4 linked regions of the Arabidopsis thaliana genome follow. The protein of the gene in region 4 interacts with the protein of the main gene of each other region in a biochemical or structural test. Each region holds a gene or a part of one and is shown on either strand. Other genes may lie near its edges.

Region 1 (4,896 bases), on a different chromosome or scaffold from region 4:
TTTTTCCATTCTTCTGTATTAAAAAATAAGACAAGGCCTGAATGTTTCCATGTAGAGACAACTCGTAGGAGACAACTAAAAAAAAAGTTTGATGCCTGATCATTTATGTACGTAGCATATGATGTAAAGCACAATAAAAATGTACAAATTGTGATGTACAATGTCTTAAACCATAAAAGAAATCAGTTGAAATTCGGGAAAACTATAAAATAAAAAATTATATATGTCAAACCATTTGACTCAAATGATACATCAATCAAAATAAATTCTTGAGACAATGCCAATGCCCAACCTAAACTTCTAAATATCTAGAAAGTGTCCAGCTAGTCTACGACAAAAGACCAAAACACGTGTCCAATTTAAGCATATGGGTTCCATTCGTGCGAAAAGGACACCCTAACTTGAAAAGGAAGGTAACCAACAAGATATATTCACTATCCGCAAACCTAAAACAAGAACTCATCCAACAGCAAAACCTTTCTCATTCCATGTTCCAGCTAATTCTCTAACACATTTTACCTCCCTTGTCCTGATTTGAATGTGCTTTCAAGCTCGGAAGGTCGCGAAGGTATGCTCGTCAGAGTATTATCTCCAAAAAAACACGAATCAAGAATAAGTTGAGGAAGAGGAGTGTCGTAATCAATTCCATAGATATCTTCCGAGTCACTGCTTCGTTCTGTGGGTTTCCATTGTACAACAAGTGAGACCAACACGTTGACAACGTGATTCATGTCGGGTCTATCTCGCGGTTCCCTGGAGCTACATTGATTGGCAAGCTCAGCTACTATGTTGATGCTTCTGAGTGTCTCTTCGTTGACCTCCATTGCTTCGTCTATCGCCTTTGGGAATGAGCCTTTGTTGATAAACATTCTCCTAAACCATGTGGCAAGATGTACTTCTTCCTCAGATCGTGCAACATCAAGAGCTTTTCGACCCGTTAGTAGCTCCATGAGGATGACTCCAAAGCTGTAAACATCAACCTTTGTTGTAACTCTTCCGGTCACTGCAATGTACATAGAGATTTCAATATTTTACATTTAGTGAGTTTAGAACGAGTAGCAACATACAAAATAAGCATAAAACCATACCTGCATACTCTGGTGCAAGATAACCAAATGTTCCAGCAATCTTGGTCTCAATTGATTGTGTACCTTCTGGTGCAAGCCGGACTAAACCAAAATCAGCAACTTTAGCATGCATGTCATCTCCAAGAAGAATATTAGAAGGTTTAAGATCTCTGTGTATGAAACTTTGATGTGCTAAAGTATGCAAATACTCAACTCCTCTAGCCACATCCAATGCAATAATCAACCGTCTAGTCCACTCGAGAGGCCTCAACCCTTCTTCCTTCCAATAGAAAATATGCCTACTTAATGTCCCTTGTGGCATGTACTGATAAACAAGAAGTCTCTCATTGCCTTCTAAGCAATAACCATGAAGAACCACTAGATTTCGGTGGCGAACTCTAGTAAGAACAGCAATCTCTGATTTAAACTCATCTAAACCCTTTCCACTTATAATCGAAGATTCCATTCTCTTAACCGCAATCTTTGTTCCATCATGCAACTCTCCCTTGTAAACTATTCCAAATCCTCCTCTCCCAAGTATATTCTTCTCATCGAAATTATATGTAGCATCCCTCAAAACTTGTATTGAGATCACAATATTTCCAGCTTCTCCTAGATGAGCGTCATTACCACTGAATCCACTTTCACTAACACCAGTACACAGATTCTCAATTGTAATCTTGAACGCATCTTGGTCACTAGATTGTTGTTGAGGATGCATCTTATGATATTGCATCTTTTTCTTGACCAAAAAGAAAATAGCAACCCCTATAAGAAGCAAAGCTAACAAAATACCAATAACAGAACCAACAATTTTCCCAGCATTACTAGATGCTTTCTTTCCAGCATTGCCATTAGGACAGTCCTCAAAATTCCCAGTCGTGTTAACAATAGTTGTGTTAAAACGAGGTACTTCACCACACAACCGATTCTTCGAAACATCCAGTGTTTTCAAGTTACTCAACTTAGCGAGCTCTTGTGGAATAGTACCATTAAGATTATTCTGAGAGAGATTAATAACACGAAGAGACGCAAAATCAGCAAATCGTGGAGATATAGTGCCGTTGAGCCCCAAGTTTTTGAAGTTGATAACTGTGATATCAGTTCCAGTACAAGTGATCCCTACCCATCCACTACAAGGATCATTTCCTTTCCATTTCTCCGCAAAATTCACCGGGTAACCAAAGGCTTCAACGATTGAAAGCAACGTGTTGACACGGGGATCACAAGAAGTACCTGGAGTATCTAAGCAGAAACTATTGAGACCATTCAGATCAGGCTTAATGTCAGGAGCCGTGAAGTTTGGAGTTGGTCCTTGAAGCAAGTTATTACCTAAAGCAACATCAGAAAGAGATTGCAGCTCAAACAAAGAAGAGGGAACGAGACCCGAAAGCTGATTCTCCCTAACATTGAAACTTTTCAACGAGACTAAACCAGAAAAGTCTGGTAAAGGACCGGAGAAGCTGTTCCCTTGCAGCGTAACATTGGTCAAAGAAGTCATCTTTTGCAGAAACGAAATTGACCCATGAAGCTTCTCCCTTCCCTTTTGCCCGTTAAGCATCAGAACTTGAACACGTGAGTCGGAGAAATTCATGGGAAATTCACATACAAGCGAGTTATAAGACAGTTTCAGAGTCGTCAAACTAGAGAAATCTTTCCCCTCGAAGAGATAATCCGGGATCTTCCCGGAAAGATTGCAGTTGACAGCAGAGAAATCTACAAGGGAAGTCGCGTTTTCCAAACTCGGAGGTATCACCCAAGAATCAAAAGGATTGTTATCCAGAGAAACATGCTGAAGAGAACTCAAACCAGAGAAGAAATCCTCAGGGACAGAAGTGAAATCATTGTCATTAGCATACACAGTTACCAACGATTTCAACCCAGCAAGACTCGGTATTGGTCCTGTTAAACGGTTCCTCATGACCTCGAACTTCGTCAAAGATGTTAGCTTTCCGAGATCAGGAGGTAGCTTTCCTGAGATTCCTCTGTCCCCGATTTGGATCGCGGTGACCCGATTGCTTGCGTCGCATTTTATGAACATAGACCACTTACAAGGATCCGACCCGGACCAGTTTGGATTTCCAGATAGCTTCAAGGAGTCTCTCAGAGCTATCATGACCGCCTCATCAGGGCTCGATTCAACGTTCACCAAGGCAATGAAACAGAGCAAAAGGAGGAAGTTTTTTGCGATCATTATCTTTTTTTTTCAACTGAGAAACAAACGCAGGGAGGCGTTGATTCACAGACAGTGATAGATTAGGGCTTAAAGACTTCAAAGGAAGAAACTTTTTGGGCGGAGATTTTCTTCTTCTTCTTGAATTGAATGAGAAAGGAAAAAACGAAACGGCAGATTTTATTGCTTTTTTTGGAAATATTAAATTGACTTGAGCGAGGGAAGTGCTTTTATTGTTATTTCCCATTTCTTGGTTTTGTTAATAAATGATTTGTTTCCTTTTCATCTGACCAAGGAAAGAATGTTAAAGGACGCAATCTTTCTGTATTTACAGGCCCAGATATATAAAAATCATAGATTTTAAGGCCCAGTATTATTTTCTTTTTTCTTTTGTGTAACTAGGCCCAGTATCTTATTTTAGTTTCTTTATTTGCTGAAATAGCATTTTAACAAAATGCATTTGCACTGTTCGTAAATCTACATTTCTTTATTATATTTTCTTTTTTGTATTTTTTTTTACTGAGATTTGTTTCTTTTTAAAAATAATGAAAATTCCAAAACTCTCATTTATTTATTTTGGAACGGTTTTATAGTTTTAGGCTTTTAGCATTATAAAATTGAATACAACTGAAATATATATGATTATAATAAACTAAAAAGAAACTTACTTTTATTGATAGTAAATTATAATTGTCAAATATCATATATTTTTTCTCATTGGAAGTTCTATAATCATTTGGACCAGTCCTACCATTTAACGGTGGTGTTTTTGATAAACTGAGGAAAATTACTGTTAGGAAAAACTTTAAAAGTAAGGGTTATCATGATCAAGTTCGTAGCAAATGACAAATTCGATATTCAATAACACAGAGCTATTCTAGCAACCAAACTGAGGTCTTACATCTATGCATATTATTGAGTCAAATAATTAGATGATTATCCTCTTTGTTTGCTCCTTTTTTTATTACTTTATTTTTAGGTCAAGTTTGAAGTTGGGTACTCACAAAAATACCTTTTTTTTTTGTCATCTGGATTATATTAGAAAATTAAAAGTTTCAGAATATGAAACCACCGATTACAAGGCTAAACTAAACCAAAGTGAAGCGAACAAGTTAGCCTACCACAAGACCCAACTCCAACATATTCAAAAGTGGTCTAAACAAAAAAGAATAAGCTCTGAACCATCGAGCACCACATAAGCCAAACCCTCCATATACAAACCATTGATCTCAAACACTGAGCATCAACACCAAAACGACTTCTCACTATCAAACAGAATACAAACCTCTTTCTTCAACAAACACACCATTCATCCAATAAGGATGCCCCACAGCCACATAGGATTGAGACCGAGACGCCTCCGTAACACTTTGGGCGATGAGGTTTGCTCCTCTGTTTGCAGCAGAAAATTCCAATTCCACCTTCCACACCAAAAAAGGTAACTATGATCTATTTAAAGCCACACTCTGAGCTTTAAAAGAAGGCCACGCCCTTGGTCTCAACACTGCACCAATCAGAGACTTATCTTGAAAGGCAAAGATAATATTATCAATTTTATGACTGGCCATACTCTCCATAGCCCATAGGAGACATCTGAGCAAAGCATCAGCCTTGCTAGAGATAGGAGCAAAAGAACGTCTACTGTGTAACAACACT
Region 2 (6,886 bases), on a different chromosome or scaffold from region 4:
TCGTTGATTTTAAAGACCATCCTAATTCCTATGTTCGGTGGTTTTGTATAGTGTGTCTGAGGCGAAGTTTAATGCTTCATTACACGTTGACCGAATAGAGTTCGATTCTCTTTATACCGAATTATTTCGGTTTGGAATCTTTAATTTGGTTAAGTGATGAATATATGTTTAGGAATTTTGTTTTCCGGTTTACTCGGTTCAAGGTTTTAGGTTTTTCGGTTTTAGAAAAACTATATCAGAATTTTCTTTCGGTTAGTAATTAGTTTGAACCTTTTCGATTTTGTTTTGGTTTTGGTTTAGGTCAGTTTGAAAATCTTAGATTTGTTTCGGTTTTGCATTGGAGATAACATAGTTTAAACAAATTTAATTTTATTTAAGAATTACAAAAAGTTATACATGCAAATGTTTTTTTTATATACATGTTACAAAATTATTTTGTAGTCCTGAAACTTGATGTATTCAATTCAGTTTATTCGGTATTGAAATTACGTTTAGCTTACAATTCGGTTCATTTCGATTCAAAAACTTTCAGTTCGGTTTGATTTATATGCCATCCAAAATTCTTACCTCACTTTGAAAATTCAAATATTGAGTAATGTGGCAGGCTAATCAACATTTTCTTTTGCATTTCATATTTTTTCTTTACATAAAAATTACACACTCAACTTCACATCTATATCAACATTATAAAACGACAAATAAAAAACAAACCCAAGAAAAGAAATTTTTTAAAAACAGTGAGTCATAATCATCGAGGACCCGAGAGCTCAATGGCTTCTACTACAAGAGACGATTCCTGAATATAATCCGAGTAATACCTCACACGCGGCGAAGAACTCACCATCCCCGGTGGCAATGGCGGTGGCTGATGCTCACCAGTACCGTTCTGCGTCGCTTCCCATCTCTCAGCCAAACCGTCACCTTCAAGCATCTTCATAACTTCTGACATTTTCGGTCGATGAGATGGATTGAATTGAGTGCAGAGTAGCGCAACTTGAACGATTTCTTCGAGTTCTACTCTATCGAACTTGTCATTTAGATCTTTGTCTATTAACTGCTTTAGTTTCCCTTCTTGGTGCAGCTTCTTCACCTGCCATTTTTAACAATCTCATTTCTCAGACCAATAAACCAAACCAAACCAATTCCAGATCAAGCACAAAAACAGAACCAAACCGAATCCAAAATAACAGTTTAGTCTTCAAACTATACCGAATTCAAATCAAAGATAACAGAAAACCAAACTGAGTCTTTTATCAAGCACAAAAACAGAACCAAAATTTAGCCAAAATCACGGCTAATTTATATTTTGTTTTGGTTTAAGTTTTCTATCAAACAAGACTGAACCGAACCAAACCACAATTATGAACAATAGCTTCAAGATTCTAGAAAGTGAAACAAGAAACAGAGAAAAGAGACTTACCCAGTCAAGCATTACACCTTTCTGGTGTGCGGATCTGCCAAAATCAAGAGCTTTCTGACCAGTAATGAGCTCAAGGAGAAGTATGCCAAAGCCAAAGACATCAGTCTTCTCTGAGGACTGACCCGTGGATAAGTACTCAGGTGCAATGTGGCCAACAGTTCCACGGACTGCAGTTGTGACATGAGAGTCTCTATGGTCTAGAAGCTTAGCTAACCCAAAATCACCAACAACTGCTTCGAAGTCCTCATCTAACAGAATGTTAGCTGCTTTCACATCGCGGTGTATAATCTTCGGGTCACATTGCTCGTGTAGGTAAACTAGTCCTCTCGCTGTCCCAACCGCTATCTTCTTCCTTCTCGACCAGTCTAATGCTGGCTCTCCACGGATATTATCTAAACAAAAAATGTAGCAAGATGGAACTATTAAAAACTTGCAAAAGAGCATGAAGAAATTAGCAGTTTTTTTGGAAACTGCATTACCTTTTAAGCGTGATGCGACACTCCCATTTGGCATGTAAGGGTAGACTAAAATTCTCTCCTGGTTGCTACTACAGAAACCGCGGAGCCGGAGGAGATTGCGATGAAGAGCCAAACTTATAGTCTCTACTTCTGTCTGAAACTGGACTTCTCCACCCGCAATGTTACAGTCCTTGAGACGTTTGACAGCCACCAAAGTTCCATCGTTTAAGTGTCCTTTGTACACAATCCCGTATCCGCCTCTTCCGAGAATGTTCTTCGAGTTGAAATGATTGGTGGCAGATCTAAGCTCTTTGAATGTATACCTCTTCAAGTGCCCTAAACTCACTTCTGGATCATATTGTTCTGCAAAATATTAATCATCAAGATGCAAGTGTCAGTTTTGCTCTGCACAAAATGATGTGAAGCCGATAGTATTTCAAGATACTAACCATTAACGTCAAAAAATATTTGCTTGTTACGGCGATATCTCCACCAAAGAAACATTCCGCTTGTAAAGAAAACAAAAAATGCTGCACTGAAGCTTGCGGCAAATGCAAGAGCAACGTGATGGCCATTGGTACGAGTTCCTGATTCATCTAAAACAGAAAGAAGAACCAAAGATGGAAGTGATGAGATACATTGACGCAGAAGAAGAATAGGGAGCTATGAGAAGCAGATGCCTAATACCTGGACCATCTTGTGGAAGCGTGAGAGGCTCGGGAACAGCAGAACAGTTTGAAACAGCTTTTGGGCCACAGATTAACGCATTACCAATTACCCTTCAGTTTAAGAAGCCCAACGCTGAATCTTAGTTTCAGCTTCAACGGAAAGATAAGTTCTTGTATAAGTTTAGTAAAGCTTACTTGAAAGTTCTGGCAGAAACTTTTGGCAGCGAACCACTAAGATTGTTATACGAAATGTCGCTGCACATTAAGAATCAGTAAAAAGTAAGTAAATAAATATTCTCCCAATGTATGTTTTTCCACTGTGAACAATAGAAAAAGCAGGATTTAGAGACTTACACTAGAGTGAGTCCCTCAATCTTGGATAGAGACTCAGGGCAAGTTCCTATAAGACTGTTATTGTTTAACCGCCTGAAAATGAAAATGACAAGAACAGAACAACAGACCACTCAGAATTGAATTGGAATTTTATAAACATGCAACAAAAGAATCATTGTGAAACCGTAAAGGAGCACTCACAAGTAATTCAAGTTCTTGAGTTCTCCAAGTGAGGCCGGTATCTCCCCGGTGAATGAATTGTTCGAAAGATCAAGTGACTGAAGCTTCTCCAACCTCCCAATCGTTTCCGGAATTGGACCAGTGATTGCATTGTTTTGCAACACCCTAAACAACAAAACATTAAGCTCAACAAGAAGCAAAACAGAGAACAAGAATCACATATAGCAAAGACTAGAAAAATCTTACACTGATTGTAAATAGGTGAGGTTTCCGATTCTAGGAGACAATGTACCAGACAAGCTTTGGCTAGGAAGATCCCTGTTTCATTAAGAAAACAAGACAAGTCTTAAAGATCTATCTGGTTTTTTTAATCTAATATACGAGAAGAGAAGAGAAGACTCACAGTGAAGAGACATAGCCATCAGTGCAAGAAACCATTCTCCAGCTACAAGGATCAACTGAATTCACATCCCAATTCTCAAGAACTTTGTACGGATCATTCAATTCATTCTTCACAGCAACCAAAGCTGTCACTGCTCATTTCAGACAAACAAAAAGAAAGAAACTTCAGATTGAAAGAACAAATCTAGCCTCAAAACTCCTATGAATTATCTTATTGCTAAAGCTGCATTTTTCGAAATTGAAATCTTATCCAAGAAAAACCCAGTAAGCTTATATGCAGTATAGTTTCACAGAGAATGAAGTAAACTTGAGCTGCTATTGGCTAAGGTTATATGAGTCTGGTGAGCATTTAAAGCTGTGATATTTATTATCCAATAAAGAAACAAAAAAGAACCTAATCCACACAAACATTCACCAGAATTTTCGGAACAACTAAACAAAATAGACAAAACCAAAGATGATAAATTCATAGAGAAAAAAATTGAGATTTCTCCAAGAAGAAAAAGACTAACCTTCATAGTTTACACCAGTAGGAGAAAGTGTAGCAGAAGAGATATCAAAGAACCATACAAAAACCAGAAATCCTAATCTCCACACCACAAATCTCACACCTTCCATATCCCTTCTTAAAGCAATCAACTTTGGTCTGAACAAAAACAAGTTTCAAAGAACCCACCAACTCATTTTTCTCTCTCCCATATCTGAAAAAAAAACTTAGCTTTTGTCTACTTTTCTTCTTCTCTGTCTTTATTTAGACACAGAAACTAATTTGAGCAATCCATTTTCCAGCAATGGAACCTCTCTTTCTCTGTGATTTCAATTCAAAGGAAGTAAAAAGGAGAAGACCCCAATTGAAAAATGACGACTTGCAAGTTACTCAGCTTAGAAAGAGAGAATTTTTGAATGAAGAAACGATTAAGAGAATGAATGCTAAACGAGCTGTGACAAGAGATAGAGAAGAGAGAGAAAACTCTAAAAGTGTGAAGAGAATTTTCCCGAGAAACCAAGCAAAACAAAAGCACCAAAATGCTCTGAAAGTCTGAGAAATTTTCCTAGAGATCTGAAAAAAAAAAAGCTATTGAGTGATGAGTGATACTAATAGTGCTTCTTGGTTTATATTTTATATCATTTTTATGACTTTGGTAGTAGTTGTTATTGAATAACTAATCTCTATAACATTCTTAATTTTTTCAAAAAAGGTTTGCTTCTAATTCCACACCACTATTACCAAATCATCTAATCTCTCATCTGCCTACTCTTATCATTCACACCACCAATATAAAAAAGGAATTTAAAAATAATAATCATGAAAAGAAAGGGACCAAACAAGCAAAATCCAAAATGAAAATGCCAAAAAATCCACAAACACACACAGAAAGATACTGACAGAATAACAAGAAAAGAAGAGACTCTCTGTTTTTCTCACTTTTTTATAAGTTTTGTTAATTTATAAGCTTTTTATATAAAACAAAATTACTGTGAGGTAAAAAGAATAGTACATTTTTTTTGTTTATGTTTTCATGATTTCAGTTTGAATCCTTTTTATTTTCTGCTTTCGGACAAATGTTTCAAGAAAACACTTTAATATACAAAAATGTGATTAGATTGAAGAGATGGGTCACATAGATGATAAAAGAAAAAACATAAGAACAAGGACATCTCTCTCTTATTTTAATATTTTGCTTTTTAGAAAAAGTTACCGAGAAAAAAAAAAAGTTTTTTTTGATGGGCAGATCACGTTCATGGCCTGTCTCCTATCTTGTTGGCTTTTTCAGGCTTCAATTATTTTACCCCTTTTTGAGTTTTTGATTAAAGGATAACATAATACTTCTCTTTACTACACAAAAATGTAAGCGTAGACGAATTCGTTTACACAAATTTTGTAAGCGTAGATTATGTTTTGCCCACTTGGGATGGCTAAATAGATATTGCAATCTCTTTCCATGACCAGAAAAGGCCCAGCTCAATGAAAATATCCAGAGCTATCACTAAAAACGGGCCCTGATTAATAGAAAAATGGTCCAAATTTTTGAATAGCCAAGTCTAAAAATGGACATGTCTATGACTGTCGATATCCACTTCAGCAAATTGCTTGCATCGTGTGTAAAAGGCTTAAATGCTTCTGATTCCATATCGTTATTTCCTAGTAGAATTTTTGGAGTTGCTAGATAAAAGTTGATTAAATACGTTTTCTTCTGATCTAAGTCAAGAAGAAGATGAGAATCAAAAGAGAAAATACCAAGTAAGAAAAAAGAAGATACTTGTTCTTTATTTATGAATAGTAAGATACATTAGAAGTGAAACATAATCCAAACACGTCTCAAACTCAAGAGACGCTAAAGAGTATTTTGAAAGTAAGTGATAAGATTGTAAAGGCTTATGCAGCCGCTGTGATGTACTGGATTGCCTCCTTGCATATACCTGTCATTGTTGCTTCAGGACCATACACCTTGAAATCAAACAGACATGTAAAAACAGTTAGAAACTGATTAAGCGGGAATGTCTTGAGTTTATTCATTGTGTGTCTACATACCTCGATGGGGACACCGATTTCGTCTCCAAGTGATCTCATTTTAGCAAGTCCCTTTTGGTAGTTTGGTCCTCCTCTCCTCACAAATATATGCATCCTTGCTGCTTTCAGCTTTGCTTCCTGTAAACGGTTAAAGCATGGTTCATTTATACTTGTAGTCAAGGGGCAATGAAGTGTTTGTGGATGATTCTACTCTCTTCTTGCTTACTTTTTCCTTGAGAGCTCGGATTATGCCATTGAAGGTAGCAGCAACATCGGTGAAGTTAGCAATTCCACCTCCAATTACCAGAGCCCTGCTTTTTCCATCCGGATTCGCTGTAGCACACTGAAGAAGCAGTATTATCATTCAGCACCACGACCAAGTCAGGAGTGACTTTATTTTCAGATGCTTTATTGGCAGAAGTTAAAGCAGCATCTTACATCAATGACAACTCTGGCATACTGCAAAACCTCGTCTTCTTTGGGTGCTCCACTGTATTCAGCATAATTGCCAAGCTCAGATGCATACCCGAGATCTCCAACCTGGATAACATTTCAGTAAACACTTTAGAGGCTAAGGCTTCTAAGCAGAAAAATGCAGGAGATTCTCGGTGTTCATATAAAAACATACGGTATCAGCATAGATGACACTTGCACCTCCTCCAGCTACCATAGTCCAAATTCTTCCCTTGGGATTCAGAACAGTGAACTTCAAAGAGGCACTTGTCTGCATATACAAAAGGGTCATAAGTCATAGAGAAACTGGTGTTTCCAGAAGCGTCAATTACTCTACGCTTATTGGTATGATACCTTCTCATCTAGACCGTGGATGAAGCTCTCTGTTGAACTCATCACTCTTCCAAATGGCATGGGAAATTCAATGTCGCCCCACCTGCAAAACGTAAGAGGTTAATCA
Region 3 (6,245 bases), on a different chromosome or scaffold from region 4:
AACCAAACATTAAAAGTTAAATAAATGAAAGAGAAGTAATAATTAATAAAAAAGGCCAAAGAAACAAAGTACACTGGCTAAACAGTAAGAAATCCAACGTGGACTGGGGTTTCAGACAACAACAGGCTCTGCTTAAAAAAGCTTTTCGTCCTCTGACGGCTTAACTTCACTTTTCCCCAAACACAAAAATCCAATAAATAATATCAACGGCTACTTTCATCTCCCTATGAAGACCAACACGTGTCACACACCCACTTGTCCTAACGTATTTGGCGGGAACTAAAACAGAACAACGACAATGTTGAAAACCCCACACATGTACTATTAAGTATTAACCCCACTGACCAAATCACGGAACATTGTCTACTAAAGCTCGGTAGATAGTTTACGCAATGCTTACCATAACGGCGCCATAGGGTCTAAACCTCAACGTCAACACACTATTTTAGTCTACATGACTAATAATAATATGCTGGACCCGACAAATATATATTCGTTATAATATGATTTTTTGTTGAACGAGAATCCCGGAAAAAATTGTTCTAAAACCCAAGATAACAAGTTAACAACAACACATTGAAGTGATTGTTCATTCCACCGTGGGAAATTCAATAAATTTGGCAACTTAAAATTTGATTGTCGTACCCGTGACAAGATACAACACAATGAAAGTCAACATAAATTATCCACAAAGGAAAAAAAATAAAGGAAAAAGAAATAAAATGATTGTAATAAGAAAACAGCAATTTCAAGAAACGGCGGTTGCGGCGGGAGAAGTAGGTGAAGTAGGATCGGCGGACAAGGAAATCGCCGGACCGACTCTACACCCTTCGAGCATGAAAACAACATCAGCCATAGACGGACGATCAACGACGTCTCCTCCAGTACACAACAACCCAACTTTGATCCCTAACAAGAACTCTTCCCACTCCGAACTTTCCGGGTCAAGCTCCAACAAACCCGGTTCAAGCAACTCAACGATCTGACCTTTTTGTAACTGTCTCTTCACCCATTTCACTATATCTTCATCCTCTGTAAACATCACTGCCTTTTTCCCCGTTAAGATCTCTAACAACACGATCCCGAAGCTGTACACGTCGCTCTCTTTACTTGTTTCACCCGTTAAACCCGCTTCCGGTGCAATGTAGCCTAAAGACCCGACGGGAGTGGATGAAGTGGATGGTTCTTCAGCTGGAGTCAACGCTGTCAATCTATCTAACCCGAATTCTGACAAATGCGCTTCAAAGTCAGCGTCGAAGAGTACGTTTTGCGGTTTAAGATCGCCGTGAATGATTGATAAAGAATGCAAGAAGGACAGTCCTCTAGCGATTCCAAGAGCAATGAGATGACGCATTGGCCAGTTCAAGACATGTCCGTCTTGGTGAGAGGCTTCTTGCAAAAGCGTAGCGAGGTTTCCGTTGGGCATGTAGTCGTAAACAAGAAGTCTTAGATCAGGTGGTCCGCAGTAATAACCTCTCAAGACCGTGATGTTCTTGTGCTTCACTCTACCTAAAGCCTCAGCTTGGTTACGGAACGTTGCATCGGTTATCGAAGCACCATCCATTAGTCTACGAACCGATAGAACCATCCCATCTCTAAACGTCGCCTTGAAGACCAACCCATACCTTCCTCTGCTCAATACGTTCTCTTCGTCAAATTGTCTTGTGGCTTCTAAGGTTTCAGCTAACGTGATCTTGTTGTTGAACATCACAAGTTTAGGTCCACCATTGTTGTCTTCTCCTCTTGTCCCACCAGAACTCGCTCTAGATGTACGTGAGGGGGTCCCTTTCTTGTCCCGACTCAAGCCCAATCTTAGTTTGTTCCGCCATTTCCATAAACTGAACACATAACCACAACAACAGAGTAACAGCAACAAAGCTCCAGCCACTGCTAGTGTCACTAGTAGAATTAGCTTTCTTCTTCTTCTCCTTCGAACGTTTGGACATTCTATACCAAGCGGTTTACCGCAGAGTCCCGGGTTCTTGACAAAGACGGTCGGGTTAGTGAAACGCGCAGCTAGAGCTTCTGGAATCTCCCCTTCCAAACTGTTTCTTGATAAGTTGAAATAGTTCAAGAAACGAAGCCGAGAGAGACTTGATGGTATAGTGGAATTCAATCTGTTCGACGAAAGATCCAACGCGGTTAGATTCGTCAATCTTGATAAAGATTCCGGTATTCGACCCGATAGAGAATTCGAATTAAGCAGGAGAGATTCTAGAGAAGAATCCTTAGAAATCTGATCCGGAATACTCCCTGTTAAACTGTTGTGACTCAAATCAAGCTTCTTCAAAAGAGACAACTTGGAAACGTAAACCGGAATGTGACCCTTTAAACTATTAGAACCAAGCTCAAGAACCTCAAGACTGGAACAATTCCCAATCTCCGGCGGGATTGTACCGGATATTCGATTGTGAGACAACGAAAGCACTTGTAATGACTTGAGAAATCCATAGTTCTTTGGGATATGTCCGGAGAATAAGTTGGAACTGAGATTTAAGTACTTAAGACTAACCAAGCTGCTGAAACCTTCCGGTACGACGCCGCCGAGCAAGTTGTTTCCAAGAGCAACCACTTGAAGATCCGGTAAACCAAATAGTTCGACTGGTAACTGACCAGAGATTCTCTGTTTACTTATATCCAAAACCTGAAGCTTCATTAATCCGCTAATGCTAACCGGTATCCGACCCGTTAACCCGCATCCACTTATGTTGAGAACACTCAAGCTTTTCAGATCACCCACATTGGACGGAACTTCGCCGGAGAATCTGTTGAAACTGAGATTAAGGATGGTAAGATTAGCTAGCTTTGTTATCTCCGACGGTATTGCTCCGGTGAGATGATTTTCATTGAGATTCAATGTCTCGAGTCCGTACAAGCTGAGAAGATCCGATGGAATCCGACCCGAGAACCCGTTTCTTCCAAGAGATATCGTTGTCAGGCTCCGTAACTGACTTAGAAAACCCGGAATCTGACCCGAGAACTTGTTTCCTTCGAAATCAACGACTCTTAACGATTTGCAATTACGGATACTCGTCGGAATTTCTCCAACAAGTGAATTGTTAGCTACTCTCAGCTCCTGAAGCGCCATCAAGTTCCCAACTTTAGCCGTAACACCACCGGAGAAACCGTTTCCAGAAATATCCAAAACCACTAAAGAGGTCAAATCAGTCAACCACGCGGGAAAATCGCCATTAATGCGATTCTCGTGAATGTCGAGAATCTCCAAATTAGGGTTCACGCAAGCTGCATTTGACGGCTTAGCTATTCCCGTGAAGTTATTAACTCCTAATTGAATGATTCGCATGGAGGAATTGTAACCTGAATAACCACATAGAAGACTAACCGGAACTGTACCGGTAAATGAATTCTCCGATAATGAAATCACCTGCAGGCTTCGAATCGTGCCTAAAGTAACCGGAATTAAACCGGTGAGGTGATTACCGGTTACGCTGAAGTGTATAAGCGATGAACAGTTGGCTAATGCGGATGGTATTGTGCCTTGTAATTGGTTTGAGTCTAGCCAGAGATACTCGAGGTCTTGTAGTTGTCCCAATGTAGCCGGGATCTCACCGGAGAAGTGGTTGAACGAGAGGTTGATGAGCTGGAGAGATGAATCCGCTGAGAAATTCGCCGGAATCTTACCGGATATTGCATTGGAAGACAAATCGACGTAACGAAGGCTCTTCGAGACTGTGACGTCGGATAGATTTCCGGTGAGTGAGTTGTGAGCAGCGTTGAGGACCTGGAGGTTTCGTAGATTCAGTATCTCCGGTGGAAAATCGCCGGAGAAGGAGTTGTAGTGAAGATAAAGAGCTCTAAGGAAGACACAACGAGAGAGAGACGAAGGAACGGCGCCGTTTATGTCGTTGGTGTGAAGACTTAGTTTACGGAGCTGAGTCAACTCACCGAGTCGAGGACTGAGGTGGCCGGTGAGGTGGAGACGAGGAAGACGAAGCTCACGGACACGGCCGGAGAAGCAAGAAACGCCGTGCCAGTCGCATGGAGCTGATGGAGATGATTGATTCCAGGACTCGAGAGCTCCTAGAGGGTCGTGGAGAGAGAGTTTGAAAGATGTGAGTGCTTGAGTCTCTGATGAGATGGCGGAGGTGTGGTGGAATCTGGAGAAGAAGATTGCGGCGAAGTGAAGGAAGAAAATGACCGTTGCGGCCATTAGAGTGGAGAAAGGAAAGATTTTTATTTGCAGAGAAGAATTAGTGTTTCGTCTATAATATAAGAGAGGAGCGTAAAGGAGGGAGAGTGTAACGACATCGTTTTGGATTCCACTATATGGAACTCTTGGGATGGTGTGAATTTTTGTTGTTCCCCAAAAGTAAATTATATAAAGATGTATTTGATTATTAAAAAATGGTTACCTAGTGCTTATATCTACAAGATGTAGATTAAATTCATTGATCATGTCTCACCAAGCAACGTAAATATCATCAAAACACTATGAGAAAATATCTTACATGCAATATGGTTTTGTGTATGTAAGTATACATGTGCGTGTATGACAGTATCTGCATTATGTTCGTAGCTACCAATCTTGTGACAAATGTTACGACCAACTCTGCATCTCTCATGGCTGGTAAATCAGAAACTACCAAATCGTACATATTTCTCACTAAAAGGATATTCATAGCATCTCATATATGGTTAGATTATGAATTATTATGATTTTCAATATTCAAAGCTTACTCTTTCTAAAAATCGAAATCCACTAATCAAAATGTTTTTCATTCTATGTTAAGGTTCCTGGTTATTAGTTAAGGTTCCTGGTTCACCCATAGTTCATGCAAAGCAAAAGGGGAATTTATAATTTTATAACAAAATTGTTTTATTTACAGTACTATTAGTCACTATGAGACATATGGATAATGTAGACAAATAGATTATAAGAAAAATGTATAACAAAGACTTATTATACCACTAATCTCACAAAGAAAGATTAAACAAAAGGATATTTTAATCCAAGAATCATAATTTCTGCCGGAATAGATGGACCACAAGAACTAGACATAAAGCCGAAAGAGACTAGTTTAATCAAGTACAACAAGTCCTTCGTGTTCTCTTTTCTTTGATTCAAATCTTGTTAAGTGTCATATAATTTGAGCTAAGAAATCGAACACAAATCCGTTGTAGTCTAGCTGGTCAGGATACTCGGCTCTCACCCGAGAGACCCGGGTTCGAGTCCCGGCAACGGAGTTTCTTTTTATTTTATTTTTTGATAAATGGGCTTCCGACAAAGCCCATATTTTGGTTTGTCTTAAGCCCGATTACTGTTTCATTAATCCGATTTTTGCTTTCTCATCCATTAGGAAAAAACCCAATAAATGTGCACTTCGTGACCTTAACCGCCGTCGGCAAACACCGTTGGTTTTTTACTTTCTTGTTCCTTTGTGTCGCCGGAGATATATATCTTCGACATCGGTGAAGAATGGGTGTACCGTCGTTTTACCGATGGTTGGCCGAGAAGTATCCTCTTTTAGTGGCGGATGTTATCGAGGAAGAGCCTGTTGAAATCGAAGGCATCAAGATTCCTGTGGATACTAGTAAACCTAACCCTAACAACCTCGAATACGATAATCTTTATCTCGACATGAACGGGATTATCCATCCTTGCTTTCACCCCGAAGATAGGGTAGCGTTTCCTTTCGATTTTTGGATTCATTCACTGTTGAATGTTTTATTTGAGACATTAGGGTTTTCAAATTTGGTTCATCCTTATTTAAAAATTGGTTCTTTGTTGTAAAAATTTGATCTTTGTGTGAGTATGCACGTGTAGAATGTTTCTGTTAGCTCTTTCTTTACTTGACGACTATGTTTGTTGTTGCAGCCATCTCCAACTACCTTTGAGGAGGTGTTTCAGTGTATGTTTGATTACATTGATAGGCTTTTCGTGATGGTACGGCCAAGGAAGTTACTCTATATGGCTATTGGTAAGTATTCTTTATCAGCCAACATTAAGTTTTAGAATAGTATGCTTAAAGCTTAATACTTTTTATATATTTGGGTCTTAGATGGTGTTGCTCCAAGAGCTAAAATGAATCAACAGAGGTCTAGACGGTTTAGATCTGCTAAAGATGCATCGGATGCAGTATGTTCTTATTTACCCCATACTGGCTTGGGGTTTCTACTGTGTAGTTTCCTCAGCCAGACAAACTTTATTTGCCTATTTACTTTCATCTAGACATGCCTTCTAATGTTTGTTGTGTTCTTGATTTCGTTTCCTTACGTGTTCTTTT
Region 4 (5,280 bases):
TCTGCTTTGAGCTCATGAGGAGAAAACACAAGATAGAACCAAGATTGCAACACTATGGTTGTATGGTAGACATACTATCGAGATCCGGAAGTATAGAGCTAGCCAAAAACTTAATAGAGGAAATGCCTGTTGAGCCAAATGATGTCATATGGAGAACGTTTCTCACCGCTTGTAGTCACCACAAGGAGTTTGAAACGGGAGAGCTTGTCGCAAAACACCTTATTTTGCAGGCTGGATATAACCCGAGCTCATATGTGCTACTCTCTAACATGTATGCTAGTTTTGGAATGTGGAAGGATGTTCGTAGAGTTAGAACGATGATGAAGGAAAGAAAGATAGAGAAAATTCCTGGTTGTAGTTGGATTGAGCTCGATGGAAGAGTCCATGAGTTCTTTGTAGATAGCATTGAAGTTTCCAGTACATTGTAGATAAAACGAATGTGCAGCAATATATTTTCAAGGGCTTAAACCTATTCTGCAATTCCTTGGCATACATGAAGACAATGTCACATGGTTGGTTTTGTGCAGCTAAGATATGTCTGGAAAAAAACTTCCCACAAGATCACTTAAAACGTCTGAAAAGTGATTGTTTTTACAGCCTAAGTACATCAGCTACAGTTACAAGGAGATAAGATTGTTACATCATGAACCGAGTTTTTCGGATCCCCTATACTGAACCTAAAACAGAGTTAACATCAGGGGAATGGTGATAGTCTGAAACCTTGGTATGCTTTATATTCTTGGACTATCAAAAGCAAGAATCATGTTAAACGGGAAACTAATAATCCGCGGCGAGATTATTCAGTTCTTGGATAACATCTTCCATGGATGGTCTTTGGTTTGAGGATTCATGAGTGCAGAGAAGACCAAGTCTAGCGAGCTGAGCCGCTTCTACTTCCGGGAAGTTCTTTCGAAGATTTGGATCCATGAAGTCTTCATTCAGTCTTCCTGACTCTACAGCTTGTAAGATCATCAAATGGCTGATTTTGCTTTTACCACTCAGTATCTGCAACAGAATCATACCAAATGCATAAACATCGCTCTTATCAGTGAACCTCCCTGTAGTTATGTACTCAGGAGCTAAGTATCCCATTGCCGCACTTGCTTTGAGCTTCGAGAAAACGATATCATCTGTGAAAAGCTTGTGAAGACCGGAATCTGCAAGAGAAGGATTATACCAGTGATCAATGAGAATCTTCTCTGCAGATAGATTCTGGTGAACTATTGCAGGTTTGTTCCCATTTTCTCCATGCAAGTACACAATCCCTGAAAGGAAGAAAAAAAAGAAATCAGATTTCACATACAAAAAACCGAGTTTAGTTTACGAAAGAATGAATAGCAGAATCCAACCTCTGGCGATTCCGTTTATGATGGAAACTCGAGTTGCCCATTCAAGAACCTCTCCAGTCTCATCCTTCACATCAAGATACTGCAAAAGATTACCATTGGGAACAAACTCATAGATAAGGAAACATTCTCCACGTCCTTTCGAGCAGCAGAATCCTCTCAACCTCGCTAAATTCTCATGCTTCAACAGTGTCAGCATCTTCAACCCTTTGAGAAACTCGGATTCATCGGATTTACAGCTCGATTTAGCTATACATTTGATAGCTGCAACAGAACCATCTCTAAGGATACCTTTATAAACTGAAGAGACATTACTCTTCCCCAACAAGTTAATCTCAGAGAAGCTCTGAGTAGCTCTCTCAATCTCCTCAAGATTGAACATAAAGCTCTCAAAGACTTCTTGAGACAATGCACTGTTGTTGTTACTGCTCTGTCCTCGTCCTAACGGATCCCAACCACTTGCGTACTCTAAGCTGATCAATGGAGAAGAGCTTTTTCTTCTAGAAACTTCTTTGAAGTTGTACTCAGTACTAATCCTACCGTCCATTGCATCAAGACTGCTTCCAATCTTCTGTTTCCTTCGTCTGTACCATGTGAATGTTGAACCGCCAAAGATTGCAACTGCGAGGATTGATCCTATTAGACCCATGACGATTCCTAAAGGTGAAGACTTTAAGGATTTTGATGAACACCCGCCATTGTTGTTACTGCAATTGCTTCGTTGTAAATCTGCTGATTCTGGTTTCACGTCAACTGTTGTGAAATTCGTTGGGTTTGTTGGGTCTGGTCGGTTAGGGTTCGGACCGTTTAAGCCGGTGCAAGCTTTCAAATCAGTGAAACCATCTCCGCATAAACCGTGATTGTTTGAATACTGGAATCCATTGTTTAGCCTCTTCAAAGCTTCATAATTCATAAAAATCAAGAAACAAACAAGTCAGCAAAACATCTTTAATGTGGTTGTAAAAACCGGTTTAGAATTGATATGGTTTAAGTTCTCCACGATCCGGTTTTGGATTGGTTCCCGGTTCTGTTTAATCGGATTGGTCAACACTGAACCGGTTTAGAATCTGAAGAATTTATGAATCTTGAGGGAAAATAAATTATTACCAGAGGGAACGAAGCCGGAGAAGGAGTTATTACGAATGTCGAGAACTTCAAGCAAAGGAGCACCGGCGAGTTTCACCGGAACAGGACCAAAGAGGTTGTTGAAGCTCAAATCAAGCCTCGTTAACGTATCAATATCGCCTAAACTCGCCGGAATGGCGCCGGAGAGTTGGTTATACTGTAAAGCCAAGACAGTTATCTTCTTAAGAGAACCAAACTGTGTCGGTATACTTCCACTTAACTTGTTGTAACATAACTGTATAACTGCAAAAAAAAAAAAAAAAGTGTTATGAATATATAGATGCAATTATATTTGCCCTTATTTTTGTTGAGTTTTACATTTTAGTTTCAAAACCCCAAATAAAATTGTTTTTGAGTTTTGCATAAAAAAGAGTGAAAGATGAAGGAGACAATAGAGAGTATCCCTAGTTTCTAGGAGACTCAAAAATCTAAAAACTTGAATGGATGATTAAAAAAAAAAACTAAAATCTACACCATTCAAGACCTAAACTCTTTTTAGCTAAGTTTTAATAAACCAAATTTGACCCGCTTAAGGTGTTTTAGCTGCAATAAATGAATTATAGTGAGTGAGGTTAACAAAGAACACATGCATAAATAGACCGACCTTGAAGATTGTCTAAGTTCCCGATTAGAGGAGGGATTTCACCGGAGAGATTGTTGACATTGAGGTATAAATCGGTGAGGAGAGGCAGATTTGAGATATCTTTAGGAATATGACCGGTCAAGGAGTTGAAGTGAAGGTATAAACCGGTTAAGCTTGTGAGAAGACCGATTGAAGGAGGGATAGTTCCAGTGAGACCCATTCCTTGAAGAGAGATGTTAGCAACACGGCGGTTTCCGTCGCACGCGACACCGTCGAAGGAGCCAGAGGAGCAAGGGTCGGCGTCGGGAGTCCATGAAGTGAGGAAACGTTTTTCAGGGTCGAGAGAGGATTTGATATCGAGGAGAATGTCGAGCTCTGAGGAGGAGGAAGACAGTGCAGAAGAAAGGAAGAAGAAGAAGAGGATGAGAAAGAGTGTGAGTGGAGAGACCATGTTTGGTTGGAGAGAAGAGAGAGAGAGAGATGAGGAAGAAAATGAAAATGACTCTCTCTTGTGGTTTTGAAGAAAAAATCTTGTCCATTGTATTTATAAAATAGTAGTTCTTGATTGTTAATACTAAGAAAAGCTTAAACCACAAAAGTATAGATATCGTGAACATAATAATAATAAAAAGTTAGTTCAACTATGAAAATGTAAAATGATAACATAGAGAACTATATAGATCACAACTCTAATTTTTTAATATATAAATGTATATAGACTAATCTCCAATGTAAGTTATTGCAATGTATTAAGACATTCATATAGTAGCTAACTATACATAATTGTTATTGCAATGAAAGTATTTGAACCATAGTCCATATGTTACTCTTATGATAATTTTAAACCACTTGACTTTTTATCACTTTTTAATTACACATATTACTGATCAAAATCAACAGTAAATTTTTTTAACTACAATATTTTGATTGTTTGTTCATGTTACATCAAGTATTCTACATGTATAGTTTCACATTTTGAGTGGATTGTTTTTGATTGATTAGTATATATATATAAGTTTATTTGGAAATTGAAGGAAAACAAAAGACTCATGAAAATTGAAAACATTGAAGTCCACGAGTTCATTTCATTTTCTGTACTTTATACGGTAAAGATTACTTTTAAAGTCTTTTCAGAGGAAAACAATAATAGTTAGGCGAATCTTAGCTTTTTTTCAAAATTGAAAATGATACCATTCTCCCTGGATTTAATGGTAAGAAAAGTTGTTTCTTTTTCAGTGCACCAGCTATAAAATTGTACTTTTTATATCATTTGTTTTTAACTTTTCATATATCCATAAATGTTGGATATATGTTTTCTTATAAATTTCTATTAATTAGCGAATTCATAACTTATTAATGACCATATTTACTGAAAAACATCAAAATTGTGAGGTTGGGATTTTAGTTAGAAAAGAACTATATTTGACTAAATCAAACCTCGAGTTTATCCGATCATCATCAGTAAACACCCTTAGATATTACATGTACAAATAACCTGATAACAAGCTTTATATGTTCACATGGAGAATAAGGTACAAAGATAAATGGGATCTTCTTGATATTATTCCATTAAATTACTATATTTGATGCAAATAATTGTTCCATGAATAACAAAAAAAAGGGTAGCTAATATTTTATATTATATAAGAACAAATTAAAAGGTAAAAAAGGCATCCAAGAGGCATGGGGCTAAGAGTACATCAAATGGGACAAAGAAGATGATGGAGGCAAGTCAATAGTAGCAACATGTGAACATTTTTCTAACACAATTAATAAACAAATTTACGTAAAATTTTACAAACATGTGAACTTGTCTTGAGTTAATGTTTTTGCTATCTTCTATATCTGATCATAGCAAAAGGTAAAATGGACCAACACCTCGCTCTCCTCTAAGTGTAACATGTGAATTTACAGAAACAAGAAAGACATAAAGCAAGAGAATAAAGCAAAAGGCTAAGGTCTACTTAAAAGATATTCCGTTTTCTCTGTAATTTTCTTACTTCGTGGGTAGTGGTGGATGATATTTTTGGTGGATGATAGATGTGTGTGTATTTCATTATCTATTTATAGAATGAAATTATTATTTGAGTGAGAAAATGAGAATTTTCAGAAAGAAAGTGTCCATGATAACTTAATTAGTGCAGTCAAATCTCTATATGATGATGACATTGTGTTAATTAGACAATATTAATTTGAGTTCCTAAGTTGATTGAATATGATTTTACT

What was found.
Region 1: the proteins of AT2G45340 (region 4) and AT1G24650 form a complex in vitro, tested with the Arabidopsis thaliana proteins (one large-scale study listed by BioGRID).
Region 2: the proteins of AT2G45340 (region 4) and NIK3 form a complex in vitro, tested with the Arabidopsis thaliana proteins (one large-scale study listed by BioGRID).
Region 3: the proteins of AT2G45340 (region 4) and AT1G75640 form a complex in vitro, tested with the Arabidopsis thaliana proteins (one large-scale study listed by BioGRID).

What each region holds. Positions count from the first base shown.
Region 1 is NC_003070.9:8,732,935-8,737,830, reverse strand, and holds AT1G24650 (Leucine-rich repeat protein kinase family protein), read right to left. Parts: upstream 3,262-4,896; coding exon 1,089-3,261; intron 1,004-1,088; coding exon 516-1,003; downstream 1-515. UniProt on the Arabidopsis thaliana protein: Involved in auxin signal transduction and cell expansion and proliferation regulation.
Region 2 is NC_003070.9:22,382,853-22,389,738, forward strand, and holds NIK3 (NSP-interacting kinase 3), read right to left. Parts: upstream 4,915-6,886; 5' UTR 4,080-4,914; coding exon 3,974-4,079; intron 3,850-3,973; exon of another isoform or gene 3,593-3,849; coding exon 3,463-3,592; intron 3,378-3,462; coding exon 3,306-3,377; intron 3,225-3,305; coding exon 3,081-3,224; intron 2,973-3,080; coding exon 2,901-2,972; intron 2,802-2,900; coding exon 2,742-2,801; intron 2,658-2,741; coding exon 2,566-2,657; intron 2,475-2,565; coding exon 2,328-2,474; intron 2,242-2,327; coding exon 1,900-2,241; intron 1,813-1,899; coding exon 1,421-1,812; intron 1,091-1,420; coding exon 749-1,090; 3' UTR 541-748; downstream 1-540. Other genes in the region: ACLA-2 (ATP-citrate lyase A-2), read right to left, coding at 5,839-5,910, 5,995-6,111, 6,200-6,316, 6,412-6,513, 6,602-6,697, 6,781-6,862.
Region 3 is NC_003070.9:28,402,852-28,409,096, forward strand, and holds AT1G75640 (Leucine-rich receptor-like protein kinase family protein), read right to left. Parts: upstream 4,332-6,245; 5' UTR 4,172-4,331; coding exon 749-4,171; 3' UTR 520-748; downstream 1-519. Other genes in the region: XRN3 (5'-3' exoribonuclease 3), read left to right, coding at 5,438-5,641, 5,837-5,939, 6,021-6,097.
Region 4 is NC_003071.7:18,689,964-18,695,243, reverse strand, and holds AT2G45340 (Leucine-rich repeat protein kinase family protein), read right to left. Parts: upstream 3,581-5,280; 5' UTR 3,506-3,580; coding exon 3,076-3,505; intron 2,715-3,075; coding exon 2,454-2,714; intron 2,247-2,453; coding exon 1,350-2,246; intron 1,266-1,349; coding exon 778-1,265; 3' UTR 519-777; downstream 1-518. Other genes in the region: CRR4 (Pentatricopeptide repeat (PPR) superfamily protein), read left to right, coding at 1-428.